Linked DNA regions of Macaca mulatta. The protein of the gene in region 1 interacts with the protein of each later gene in a pairwise test. Links are inferred from orthologs where the notes say so. Each region holds a gene or a part of one and is shown on either strand. Other genes may lie near its edges.

The links. The genes of interacting proteins can lie anywhere in the genome.
Region 2: the proteins of WASL (region 1) and RNF8 interact in binary tests that used the Homo sapiens proteins (3 or more experiments, as listed by UniProt). The two-hybrid records come from large-scale screens. The link is inferred for Macaca mulatta from reciprocal best matches to the Homo sapiens genes WASL and RNF8.

Annotation. Positions count from the first base shown.
Region 1 is NC_133408.1:163,547,180-163,553,105, forward strand, and holds the start of WASL (actin nucleation-promoting factor WASL), read right to left. Parts: upstream 3,803-5,926; 5' UTR 3,548-3,802; coding exon 3,431-3,547; intron 1-3,430. UniProt on the Homo sapiens protein: Regulates actin polymerization by stimulating the actin-nucleating activity of the Arp2/3 complex. Involved in various processes, such as mitosis and cytokinesis, via its role in the regulation of actin polymerization.
Region 2 is NC_133409.1:144,881,556-144,887,351, forward strand, and holds the start of RNF8 (E3 ubiquitin-protein ligase RNF8), read right to left. Parts: upstream 3,826-5,796; 5' UTR 3,704-3,825; coding exon 3,593-3,703; intron 1-3,592. UniProt on the Homo sapiens protein: E3 ubiquitin-protein ligase that plays a key role in DNA damage signaling via 2 distinct roles: by mediating the 'Lys-63'-linked ubiquitination of histones H2A and H2AX and promoting the recruitment of DNA repair proteins at double-strand breaks (DSBs) sites, and by catalyzing 'Lys-48'-linked ubiquitination to remove target proteins from DNA damage sites.

The DNA.
Region 1 (5,926 bases):
TGGAGACTTTAATTGTTCTTGAATTCCCAAAGTACTCTCTTAATTTAGGCCCTCATCATATTTCACCTGCACTACTATAAAACAACTATCTGATTTCCCTTGTCTTTCCCTCACAATCCTCAATCCACGTTCTATACTGCCTCCACCTTTCCCCTGAAAATTTTCTAAGTCAAATATGATCTTGTGAGTCCCCCTTAAAGAGTGCAATACTTCCTCAACTGTATCTCCTTCTTAGTTGTGAAATGTACACTGATATCTTAAGCGGTCAGAGAAATGCTGTACTAAAAGAATTTGATTTAACTTAATTGAGCTTCAATTTGCAAAATATAGACCAAAAACTGAAGAAAAATCTATTAAGATTTCCAATGTGCTCAAGGATTATCCTATCAGACGTGGTCTTCAGCAGTGGTTTTCAAACTGTGATATACTTTAAAATCTTCTGTTAAGTTTGTTAAAAAGAGACATGTCCAAGCTTCACCTCATATCCAGTGATTCTGAATATTATCTAGGAATTGGGTCTAGGCATATGCATTTCTCATAATCTCCACAATGATTCCAATGCATACCTAAATCTGAGAGCCCAAGCAGAAGCCCTCCTTGCTCCCTAAGAAATCTAATAAACTTATTAGTAGGTCTCCTAACTTTTCAAGTTGTTTCATACCTCTCATCAGCCTAGGGAGCACCTGTTTAGATATAAATATTCAGTTATCCATTTTAACAAGCTTTTACTCAACCTCTCTCCCCCCATTCTCTCCTTTAATCCCCTAAACCTGTATAAAAATAGTTTCCATATATTTACACACAGTCTTAATCCACACAACTACCCATGAGATAGTATCTTTGTTTTACACATGAGAAAACCAAATCTAGGATAGGAAGCTTAAGAAACTTATCCAAAGTGACCCCCAGTTTGAACCCATATTTGCTATTACAAAGCCAAGACATTTTCTATTGTGAAAAGTAGCCTCTTACACATCACTCTGAAGCACTGACTTATTTATCAGTTTACACGTTTCCCTTTTTAGACCTAGTAAGCTCCCTGAGGACAAGTTTCAGCCCTTCTAGATTTTGACCTCAACATTTAATCAATGCATGTTTGTTGAATGAAAGAAGATATGAAGCTCCTTCAGAGCTAAGACTGTAACTGCTTCTGTTTCATTTCTTGAATTCTTAAATAGAGCTCTGAGTACTCTTCTGCCTAACACATTTGGTCTGACCTGTAAATCTTACTGCTGGATTTATTATGAGACAATGTATTTCGGTAATGTTTTAAAAGACAAAAAAAACCCTGCATAATCAGCAAAGGGAGAAAAAGATTATTTCAAAAATTAAAATATCACTCTTAACTCTCTATTAACTAGGGACTTCAATTTTTGAAATTAGTGTATGCAACGACTTATCCCACAGAAGCAGGCAACTGACACAGTGTGGTTTTTAAATGACAGAAATGCAAAAGGTAAAGTTAATTAATAAAAGATGGCGTAAAGAAATTAAGCACTGAATACTGACAGCCTATTCAGCAATCCACTTACACTAACCAACGTGCAACATCATTTTTCCCTATCACAGTATTTTTCCCCATCTGCCATTTTTTGAAACCAGTAAAACTATAGGTAAGCACAGGACAATTACTATACTTGTGTATAAATGTAATGTTCTTTCTGCGTAAAGTTAATGTGTGTGGTATGTAGAACACAGTATGACTACTTCCTTTTTGATACAGGTTACACAGCTAATCTACTAAACCAACAACTGAATTTTTTTTTCATTGGAGGTAACTAACATTCAAAGTGCTGGAGATTTTCCTAAACTGAACATATGCAAACATTAGTGGTGCTTTAAGAATCTTGTATTTTAATTAGTTTTTGGTGAAAAAGGCAAAGTGGTTATTCCTTTAACACCACTTTTGGAAATAAATCGGTAACAAGAAAAAAAAAAAAACACCCTTCTAAAACAACATGATGTAGTGGAAAGTACCATGGGATAGGACGAGGCATGAGGAGTCCCGGTTTTCTGGTTCTGGTTACATCGTTAAACTGTTGTATGACTTGGGCTCACTGGATCAGTTTTCTCATTTGTTGAAAAAAGTGTGTGAATGGGGAGGGGCTTAAAGTTGTTAACCAAAATTCTCGTTTTGAGCCACTCCTCTCGTTTCATCCTTCTAATCACGAAACTCAATGTTCTCTAAGGTCTAAGTTCCGAAATTTGAAACACATCTGAAATTGAATGGAACGATTCAATCTCCAACCGGATGGCACAAGATACAAAGGGTGGACTCCTACGACGTTAACAATTAATCCAAGAACTTTCCAGAAATTGTCTAACCCTAACTTCGTAAAGAAGCAGGTGAAATCTGGTTTGGCATACCTAACATTAAAGGAGTTATAAAATGGTATTGCTTTGTTGAAATTTCCGTGTTTTCTGGATTCCAGTGGCACGTACTCTGCAGGTGCTAGCAAACAAAGTGGAGAGAAAGAGACCCAGCCAGGATTTCAACAAACCACACTTCAACCCAGCACCGCAGTATGATTCCGACAAGGCCTATACCACAGAGCAGAACCTCCCCACCCCCAGAAGTGCCAGCAGCCAATGTAACGAATGCTTCCGTCAACAACACACATTCCCCTTCCCACAGCAGAACTGCTCGCTCCCAACCGGCCATCTGGGGTTGGAATTGGCCGCACAGCACCAAACTAAGAATCATTCTCGGCCCCAAAAACCAAGAACTACCAGAGATTGAGGTTTCCCTGCGCATGGCTGCGGGGAAAGCAGCACCCCCTCCCACCAATGGGGGAAAAAATCAGTGGGAAGGAAAGTAGAAACCAGGCCTAGACAAGGTTGCTGGAGAAATCAATCTTGTTTCTCTTTAACGAAGAGCAGTAACAATTTTTTTATCCTCTCTAATCTGAAGAGAGCCCAGGCTCTTGCACTCGACTTCATTCCCTCCTGGAATCCTAATGGGAGAGTGAAAACCACCTTCCTTCCCCGACCTATCCACTCCTCAAACCTGGCATTGTTAAGGAAGGTACCCCCAGATCCAGCAGGAGGAGGTGACGCGAGAGCTAGAGCAAGGGCCCAGATTCTGGGACCAAGCGACTCTTACAAGAAAATCCCCTTGCGGCCTGAGAGTAAAGTTTTAACCAGCAGCCAGGGCGCGGACCGAGGCCCGGCCAGGCTGGAGGACAGGCCTGCGGAGGTGACACTCCCTTGTTCCCCAAAGCTCGGGGAGGCGGCGCCCGACCGCCACAGCCCGCACCCAGGGAGCAGGGCGAGGGCGCCGACGAGGGGCCGGGGCTGGCGGGAGGCCTGGCCGACAAGCGGGACCCTCCCCGCGCCGCTCCCGCCTCCTTCCCTACTCCCACTTCCCGGCCCCCAAGTCTGGGCCCGTGAGGTAATGTCACGGGTGGCGACGCGGTTCTTATCCACTGACCACACATTTCTTGCCGAGGAAAGTGAAGAGGGACTCGTTCTCCTGCGGGGTGAGCAGCAGGGACCCCACGTTGGTGACCCTCCGCGGCGGCGGCGGCTGCTGCTGGACGGAGCTCATGGTTTCGCCGGCAGGGTTGGGAGTCCAGGGCCGTCTCCTCCCGCGAGTGGGCGAGAGCTCGTTACCCCTCTCGGTGACAGGGGCGGGGAGAAGCGGAGTCAGAGGCGCCACATCTCGCAGCTCCTCCGGAGCGCGGAGGAGGAGGAGGTCGAGGGTCGCAGGCGCCGACGGCGAGCCACCTTCGGGCCGCGCTGAGAAAGGGAAGCTCCCAGCTCCCGCCCGGCCAGGATAGGGCCGGATGGTCGTTGTCCTCGCACTCCAGCGACTGCGCTAAACTCCCAACTCCTCCCCCAACCCTCCCGCAGCGGCGGCGGCGGCGGCCGCACAATCCAACATGGCAGCGGGGACGGGCGAGACCACAGGACGGAGGGCGCGGGGGAGCGCACCGGAAACGCGCGGCCGGGGCCCGGGAGGAACCCCCCCCACTCGGCGGCGGGCCTCGCCGCGCCGGCCCGAAGCCACGCCCCCTTCCGGCCGAGGCGCGGACCGCGCGGAGCTAAGTGGAATTCCGGTTGGCTCGGGGCGCAGGCTTTCAACTTCGTCCTCTGGCTTCTGGCGTCTCGGCTCGTCGGTTGGGTACCCAGACCCAGCTACTGCTGCTTGAAGAAAAGATGGGTGGGGAGACTCCTCGCCGTCGCTGCGCCGCCGGCTTTCCTTGGGCGGACGCACACCTTTGCGAAGCGTCAGTGAGGACCCAGGGCCTGTCCTTGAAATAGCGCTCATTTCTCAGGCGCGGCAGCGTGACGCTCGCTCTGCGGGTTCGAGAGGCCTGCGATCTGAAGACTGAAAACTGGGGAAGAGGTGCTTTCCCCTATGCTCCTCGCGGGCTTCACTAGGAGCCGCAGGTGCCTGGGATTTTCTCAAACTTTGTCCAAACTTCAACTGTGGGAGTGGAGGAACAAACAGGCCTCTCCCAGAATTGTGAAAGAGATCGCCCTGATGGATGTAACAAAAACAAATGCACTTGACTTCCACCGCCTCCCTGGCGTGTCACGTGGGCTTAATGTATGTGTCATATTTAAATTCAAAGTATTTTCTTTTAAGGGCCCTGGACACATTTTTTTCCCCCTGTATCGTGAATTGGAAAATAGCCCAGGATATTAAAAGTTACCTAAGATAACCCCCTTTGTTCTGTAAGTACTAAACGGCTTAAAATGAAATTTTGGAATCGAGACAATGATGCAGACTGCAGTGAGCTATCAAATATGCATGTCACTGTTCACATTAAACATTTTTGTTGCATAAATTCATGTCTGGTAATTGCTTAATTCCAATAAACAAAAAAGTTACATGTTAAACAAGACATCTATAACAGTTACACTTTGGTAAAACTGTTGGATGTTAACATCTCTGATAGCGCCAATAGAAATCTCTGATGTACTAACCAGACTGATAAACCATTATCATGCACTTTGAAAATAATTATAAAGTATTAAAATTAAAGCTGTCCTTAATGAAATAGGCTGAGCAACAATAAATTTACAAAGGAAAATAAGATTGGATAGCCTTGGGAGGTCTCACATAAAATATGGAGATTTCAAAGTTAAACTTGATTAATAATGTTAGGGTAAAAAGTGAATTAAAGCAACAGGACTATTTATAACATAATTAGATTTAGAAAGCATTAGTAGAAATGGAAGCCTGGAGTTGCTTCTGAATTACAGATCTAACAAAGCTAGAGCTAAATCAGTTTGTCTTTTATCAAAACTGCAACCCCTGTAAGTTGAAAGCACAGTGACAAGAGAAAGCATTACAAATTCTTGAGAAATAGTAGAAATTAAAGCTCTTCTTTTCAAACCTGTGAGCAAGTATAGTGCCAGAAGTTTAAGATTCAGATAGACCCAAGTTGTAGTTCTTGTTATGAATCTTATAACCCAGTGGACTTTGGACAGATTACTTCTCTGCGTCTCAGTTTCCTCATCTGTAAAATGAAAATAATTTCTGTTTCATACAAGTATAGTCTAAATAGGGATAATTACACCTACTTCGAAGTTGTAAAATACAAAATTACAACTAGATAGGAGGTGTAAGTTCTAGTGTTCTGTAGCACTGTAGGATGACTGTAGTTAACAATACTATATAGTTTCAAATAGCTGGAAGGATATTGCATGTTCCCAAAACAAAGACATAATGTTTCTGAGATGATAGATATGCTAATTACCCTGATCTAATCACTATACGTTATATGTATTGCAACATCACTGTGTACCCCCATAAATATGTGCAGTTATTGTCTATTAAAATTTTTTTAAACTAAAATTATAAGACATTAAAAAAAGATATCACATGTAAAGTACCTGATACATAATGATTACTCAAGTATTAGTTGTCGGCCACTGACAGTCCTTGCCTATGGTCTGTTCTGCTTTCCCTGAGCTA
Region 2 (5,796 bases), on another chromosome or scaffold:
AGCCGGCATAGTGTTCAGTTAAGTATTTGAGAATGAATGAAAAAATAACGAGGTCTTGCATATGAGTCCTCAAGATTTAAGGGTGGGTGTTTTTATGTCAGAAGTTAGAGACTGTATTACCATTGGAAAATGTGGAGCAGCAGTTGGAACTCATACGGTCTCCCTTGTTCCTCTTTAAAACGTTGTGGTGACCACTCCACCAATACTGAGCACAAAGTTTTTCAGTTCTTTCACACTCTGCCAGAATTATATTAATTATAGAAGTTCCTCTGAATACACATATCTGTTAAAATTGGAATGGTTAGGGATTTATCTGTCATCCATATTCAGTAAAATTTCTATTTAGGTAGCTTTATCTCTAAGAGAGGAAGCATCTCATATTACATGCTAATACTGGAGGGGAGACAGCCAGACTGCCATTGTGAGTAGCCTGGGGAAAACAGTACCAAAAAAGTGGAAGAGTGCCTTTTTCTGAAACTGCCTCCAACAGACTCTGAATCCAGAAAAAGGAATCATTCTTTTATATCCTTCCCTGCACTGCCTGGTCTTAGAATTTACCTTGGTACTACTGATATTTCTCCTATACTATAGTTAAAGAGTGCAGTGAGGTTAACCGGAAATCTCAGGACCACTCAATGGAACACTAAATTTCCCATGGGAACTGACTGCCGACCCATATGTGAGGGGTTGTTTTCATTTACAATAGTTTTGCAAGCATTTCAGCTTACACATATTATTGATCTAAAAGATCATCTTGTCCTTGCCCACCTTCACAAGACTATCTCTTCCCTCCTGGGCACAATTCCTACTGTTTCTCAAATAACAAGTAAATATGGCCTGGTACAGTGGCTCACACCTGTAATCCCAGCACTTTGGGAAGCCCAGGCGGGCGGATCACATGAGGCCAGGAGTTCGAGACCAGCCTGGCCAACATGGCGAAACCCCGTCTCTACTGAAAATACAAAAATTAAATGGGCATAGTGGTGCACATCTGTAATCCCAGCTACTTCGGAGGCTGAGGCAGAAGAACGGCTTGAAGCGGGAAGGTGGAGGTGTGATCACACCACTGCACTCCAGCCTGGGTGACAGAGGGAGTACTCTGTCTCAAAACAAAACACCCCACAACAAAAGCCCCCAAACCAGTAAATATAACCATCCTTTCCCTTTTTTCCCTTGGGGCAGAAAATTTAATGAAAACTAAATACAAGAGAAGAAAAGGGAAGAGAAGGTTCTGTTGTTTTCCCCAAAGGCCTAGATACTTTATAGTACCTGAGAACTAGCTAATTTGCAATAAATCTCTACTTGTTTTTCCACCAAACTCTATGCATTGCTTTAACAAGCTTAAAGCCACTTATTTAGACAATTTACTACAGTATTCCCATTAATGAAATGAAAGGAACTCTGTTTTATTATTTTATCCACAACATCTGAGACTAAGAACTGGAAAGGCAGGGCGCTGATCTACCTTTGCTGTTATAATGTTATTAGCATACCTCTTAAAATCTTGTGCAAAACAGCTTGTGCTATGATGTGGGGACATTACAATAAGTACAACTTCTTCTCTTGCCTCTGATTCAGACTTCTTTTCAGGCTATGCTACGACTTGACCTTGCAGGCAGCCAAGCCTGGCAGGCTTCTCCTACACACAGGTCCCTGAAGCCAGCCACAGTCTTACCACTGTGTCTTTACCATTCACTCGGTTTGCACGAGTCCGTCCCCATAGAAGTGGCCCCACAAAGAACTATCAAATGGTTCAGAATATGTCTAAGAGTGCTTTGGAGTCTTCTTGCCCTTCCTACAGGTGCTTTCATTCTTCCTCCCCATCCCACCTGCCCAAGACTGCAGTACCAAGCTATTCAGAAGAGTCATAAATTAATCCACAACAATTGAATCTAAAGGAATAACACTTGCCCACTAAGTTACCTTAGAAAGTTGTGTGTATGCAGGGATCACACTAAGTAATGTATGTGAAATTAACTAATAGTTATGCATGAAAATAATTTATTTTTGTGTGTAGTATTCAGGTTATCATTCAGGTGTTCTTGTTTTAATTTGCTAAACTTCTCACAAACATCTGCTGTTGGAAAGGGCCAGGCAGGGAAAGATCTGTGCTCAAGCTAAAAGCCTGAATGCTTCATGTGGACTTTTAGGCACTAATACCTGGATAGAAGAAGTATTCTATCCAGAAAATGGATAGAATTTTGGATAGAATACAGAGATGTTTTCCTGGTGTTCCTCAGATCACAGCACACAAGTAACCCTTTATAACACCTCCTAATCGAGCAAAATTTGAGCCTGGACATGAATTCCTCCTCTGACTTGAAGAACTACTGCTCTGGGGTGGAATTAAATAATCCACATCTTGGCACTTGATCATACAGCCCATATGGATGTTCTTAGACTGCTTCATCGTATAAATCCCCTCTCCCCACTCAAGCCTTAAACTCTTCGAGCGCAGAAATTTTATTTGTCCTCACTGTACACCAAACAATGTTAAATACTCAGTAAATACCTGGCAGACTGAATTGAGGCGGCACGGCTTATAGGAAAAATCTAACCGAACATACATTAAGACTTAAAAGACTTACTGAATTTACAACATCATGACCAACCATCCACTTTTACTGCAAAGAGAACTTTTCATACAGATTATTTCCAAAACCCAGGTGGTTCCCAGTCACGACAAGCTTGTCCCTGACCCAGTTCTCCTTCTCAACCTGATTGCAATCTAACTCCCTCCTCCCCCTCCCTCGCCCTTTCAAGATGCACGCTGGTGCATCTTTCCCCTTAAAAATGTTTTCATTTGCAACTGCATTAGTAAAGACGAGAGGCAGCCTCTGGAGAGAACTCTGAATCCCTGCCCGACCCACCTCAGGGAGTACCACTCGGCCGTACCGAGCCTCACCGGAGAAATGTGGCCCAGCCCAAGTCGCCCATGTTCCTCAGAGTTGGGAAGGAGGAAGACATTTCTACGTGAAAGTTTGTTTTAAGGGACAAAGCCCAAAACTTGAATCGTTTTCAAAACAAACTCGAGAAAGTTCACGCGCCAGGCCCCGCCTCGGCTTCCCTGCGGCTCGCGGCCCCCGCCACCGTTCCCCGACCTGGGCACCGCGGGGCTCCGTGCGCCCTAAACGGGATCTGGCCAGCCCCCGCCCTCCCCTCCTCGACACCCCCGCGTCTCCTCACATTCTCTGCGCGTCCCTCTCCTTCCCGGCCCCGCTACCCGCTGGCCCAGGCCTCTCTGGACGGGGCCAGCTTCTCGCCCCACAGGCCGCGGGCCAGGGCCTCCGTCCTCACCCCAACCCTTGTGGCCCCCCATGGCTCCCCAGAGCCGAACTCTCTTTTCTTTCTCTCATTCGGCCCCTATTTCTCCCCCAAACACCTCCCACCGCAGACCCTTCAGTCGCTCGCGCCAGAACCGCTTTCTCCCTTCTCTCCCCAGGAATCCACCCCCCACAGACACTTCGCTCCTCTTCCTGGTGCCCGCCTCCTCTCTGCCATTCATTCAGCGCAGCAAGACACCTTCCTCCCTCCCCGAGCCCCGCTCCCTCCAGCCCCTGCCCTCCGCCCCACAGGACCCCTTCCCCCGTACCTCGCGCCCATCTTCCAGCAGCAGCCACCCGGCGCTCATCCCCACCCGCCGCAGGCACCAGCTCCGGCCACGGGCGCGGTCTCCTGTGACGAAGAAGCCGGGCTCCCCCATCGCCTACTCGACCCCGGGGGCGGTCAGCACCGAGCGAGACCCCGACCCAGGCTCCGGCTGCCTCTGTGCATCCTCTCAGCTTCCATATCTAAACAACAGACAGAAGCAATCACCACACGCTCGCGATCGCTGCGAATGCAGGCTCCGCTCGCCCGCCCTCGGCCAGGAAGCAGGAGCACTGCGCCTGCGCAAGAGACGGCGGCCGCCCTGGGGCAAAGAGGGTGAGTCAGGAGCCAATCCGACCCTGGGCGGGGCGGGCGTGACGCGAGGGCTCTCCTCCCCTCACAACTTCGCTCGCCCCCTCCAGAACCATCACCTCAGTCCTAGTCGCCCCAAAGTGGAACCTCTCCTCACCTTTCCTCTTTTTAAAAAAATCATGGGCCGGGCGCGGTGGCTCACGCCTGTAATCCCAGCACTTTGGGAGGCCGAGACGGGCGGATCACGAGGTCAGGAGATCGAGACCATCCTGGCTAACACGGTGAAACCCCGTCTCCACTAAAAAATACAAAAAACTAGCCGGGCGAGGTGGCGGGCGCCTATAGTCCCAGCTACTCGGGAGGCTGAGGCAGGAGAATGGCGTGAACCCGGGAGGCGGAGCTTGCAGTGAGCTGAGATCCGGCCACCGCACTCCAGCCTGGGTGACAGAGCGAGACTCCGTCTCAAAAAATAAAAAAATAAAAAAATAAAAAAATCATGTAAAACTATAGCCCACTTTTAAACAACTTTAAACTTTCCATCAGATTTAAGTCTGCCTAGTCTGTTCCTAAATAGTCTCTATTTTGCACGACCTCCTTATATTACCGAAGTAAAAAATAGATTACACTAGGCAAATCTACAAAGACACAGAGCACAGTTACCTGGGGCGAGGTGTGGGAGCGGGGATTGAATGCAGGTGGGCTTAAAAAAATTGGAGGAAAGTAGAAATGTTCTAAAAGTGGATTGTGGTGACAATTGCACAACTGTGTAAGTTTATTAAAAAGTCATGGAAGTGTGGCTGGACGCAGTGGCTCACGCCTGTAATCCTAGCATTTTGGGAGGTCGAGGCGGGCAGATAGCTTGAGTTCAGGAGTTGTGACCAACCTGGCCACAAGGGGAGACACCGTCTCTACAAAAAAAAAAAAAAAAAAAAAAAAAAAGGAAGGGAGGGAGAGAAAGAAAGGAAAAAAGAAAAAAAAGAAAAATTAGCTGGGTGTGGTGGTGCACACCTGTAGTCCCGCTACTCGGGAGGCTGAGGTGGGAGGATCTCCTGACCCCGGGAGGCAGAGGTTGCAGTGAGCTAATATGGCGCCACTGCATCGCAGCCTGAGCAACAGAGTGAGACCCTGTAAGGTGAAGTGAAGGAAGTGTACACTTTCAGTGGGTGAATTTTATGGCATGTAAATTATACTCAATAAAAGTGTTAATTTTATTATTATTATTATTGATTAGAGACTGGGTCTCGCCTTGTCACCCAGGCTGGAGTGCAGTGGCGCGATCTCGGCTCACTGCAACCTCTGCCTCCGTGTTCAAGCGATTCTCCTGCCTCAGCCTCCAGAGTAGCTGGGATTACAGGCATGCGCCACCAAGCCCAGCTAATTTTGGTATTTTTTGGTAGATATCGGGTTTTGCCATGTCTTCTGGATTCAAGCGATCCAACCGCCTCTGCCTTCCAAAGTGCTGAGATTACAAGCATGAGCCACCAAGCCCGGCCAACTAAAAAACTGTTTTTAAATTCAGCCTCTCATTTGGATTTTCCATACAGTGTGATAGCTGCTGCCTGTAGTGAGTACCTCCAATGGTTGAGCCCCTTTTGTCTTTTCAGTTTTCCAACACCTAGTTAACAATTTCTTTTTCTCTTTTTTCTTTCTTTCTTTCTCTTTCTTTCTTTCTTTCTCTTTCTTTCTTTCTTTCTTTCTCTTTCTTTCTTTTCTTTCATTCATTCTTTCTTCTTTCTTTCTCTCTTTTTCTTTCTTGCTTTCTCTTTCTTTCTTTCTCTTTTTCTTTCTTTCTCTTTCTTTTCTTTCTCTTTTCCTTCCTTCCTTCCTTCTTTCTTCCTCTTTCTTTTTCTTTTTCTTTTTCTTTTGCACCAGGGGAATGAAGGAAAACAATTTTCC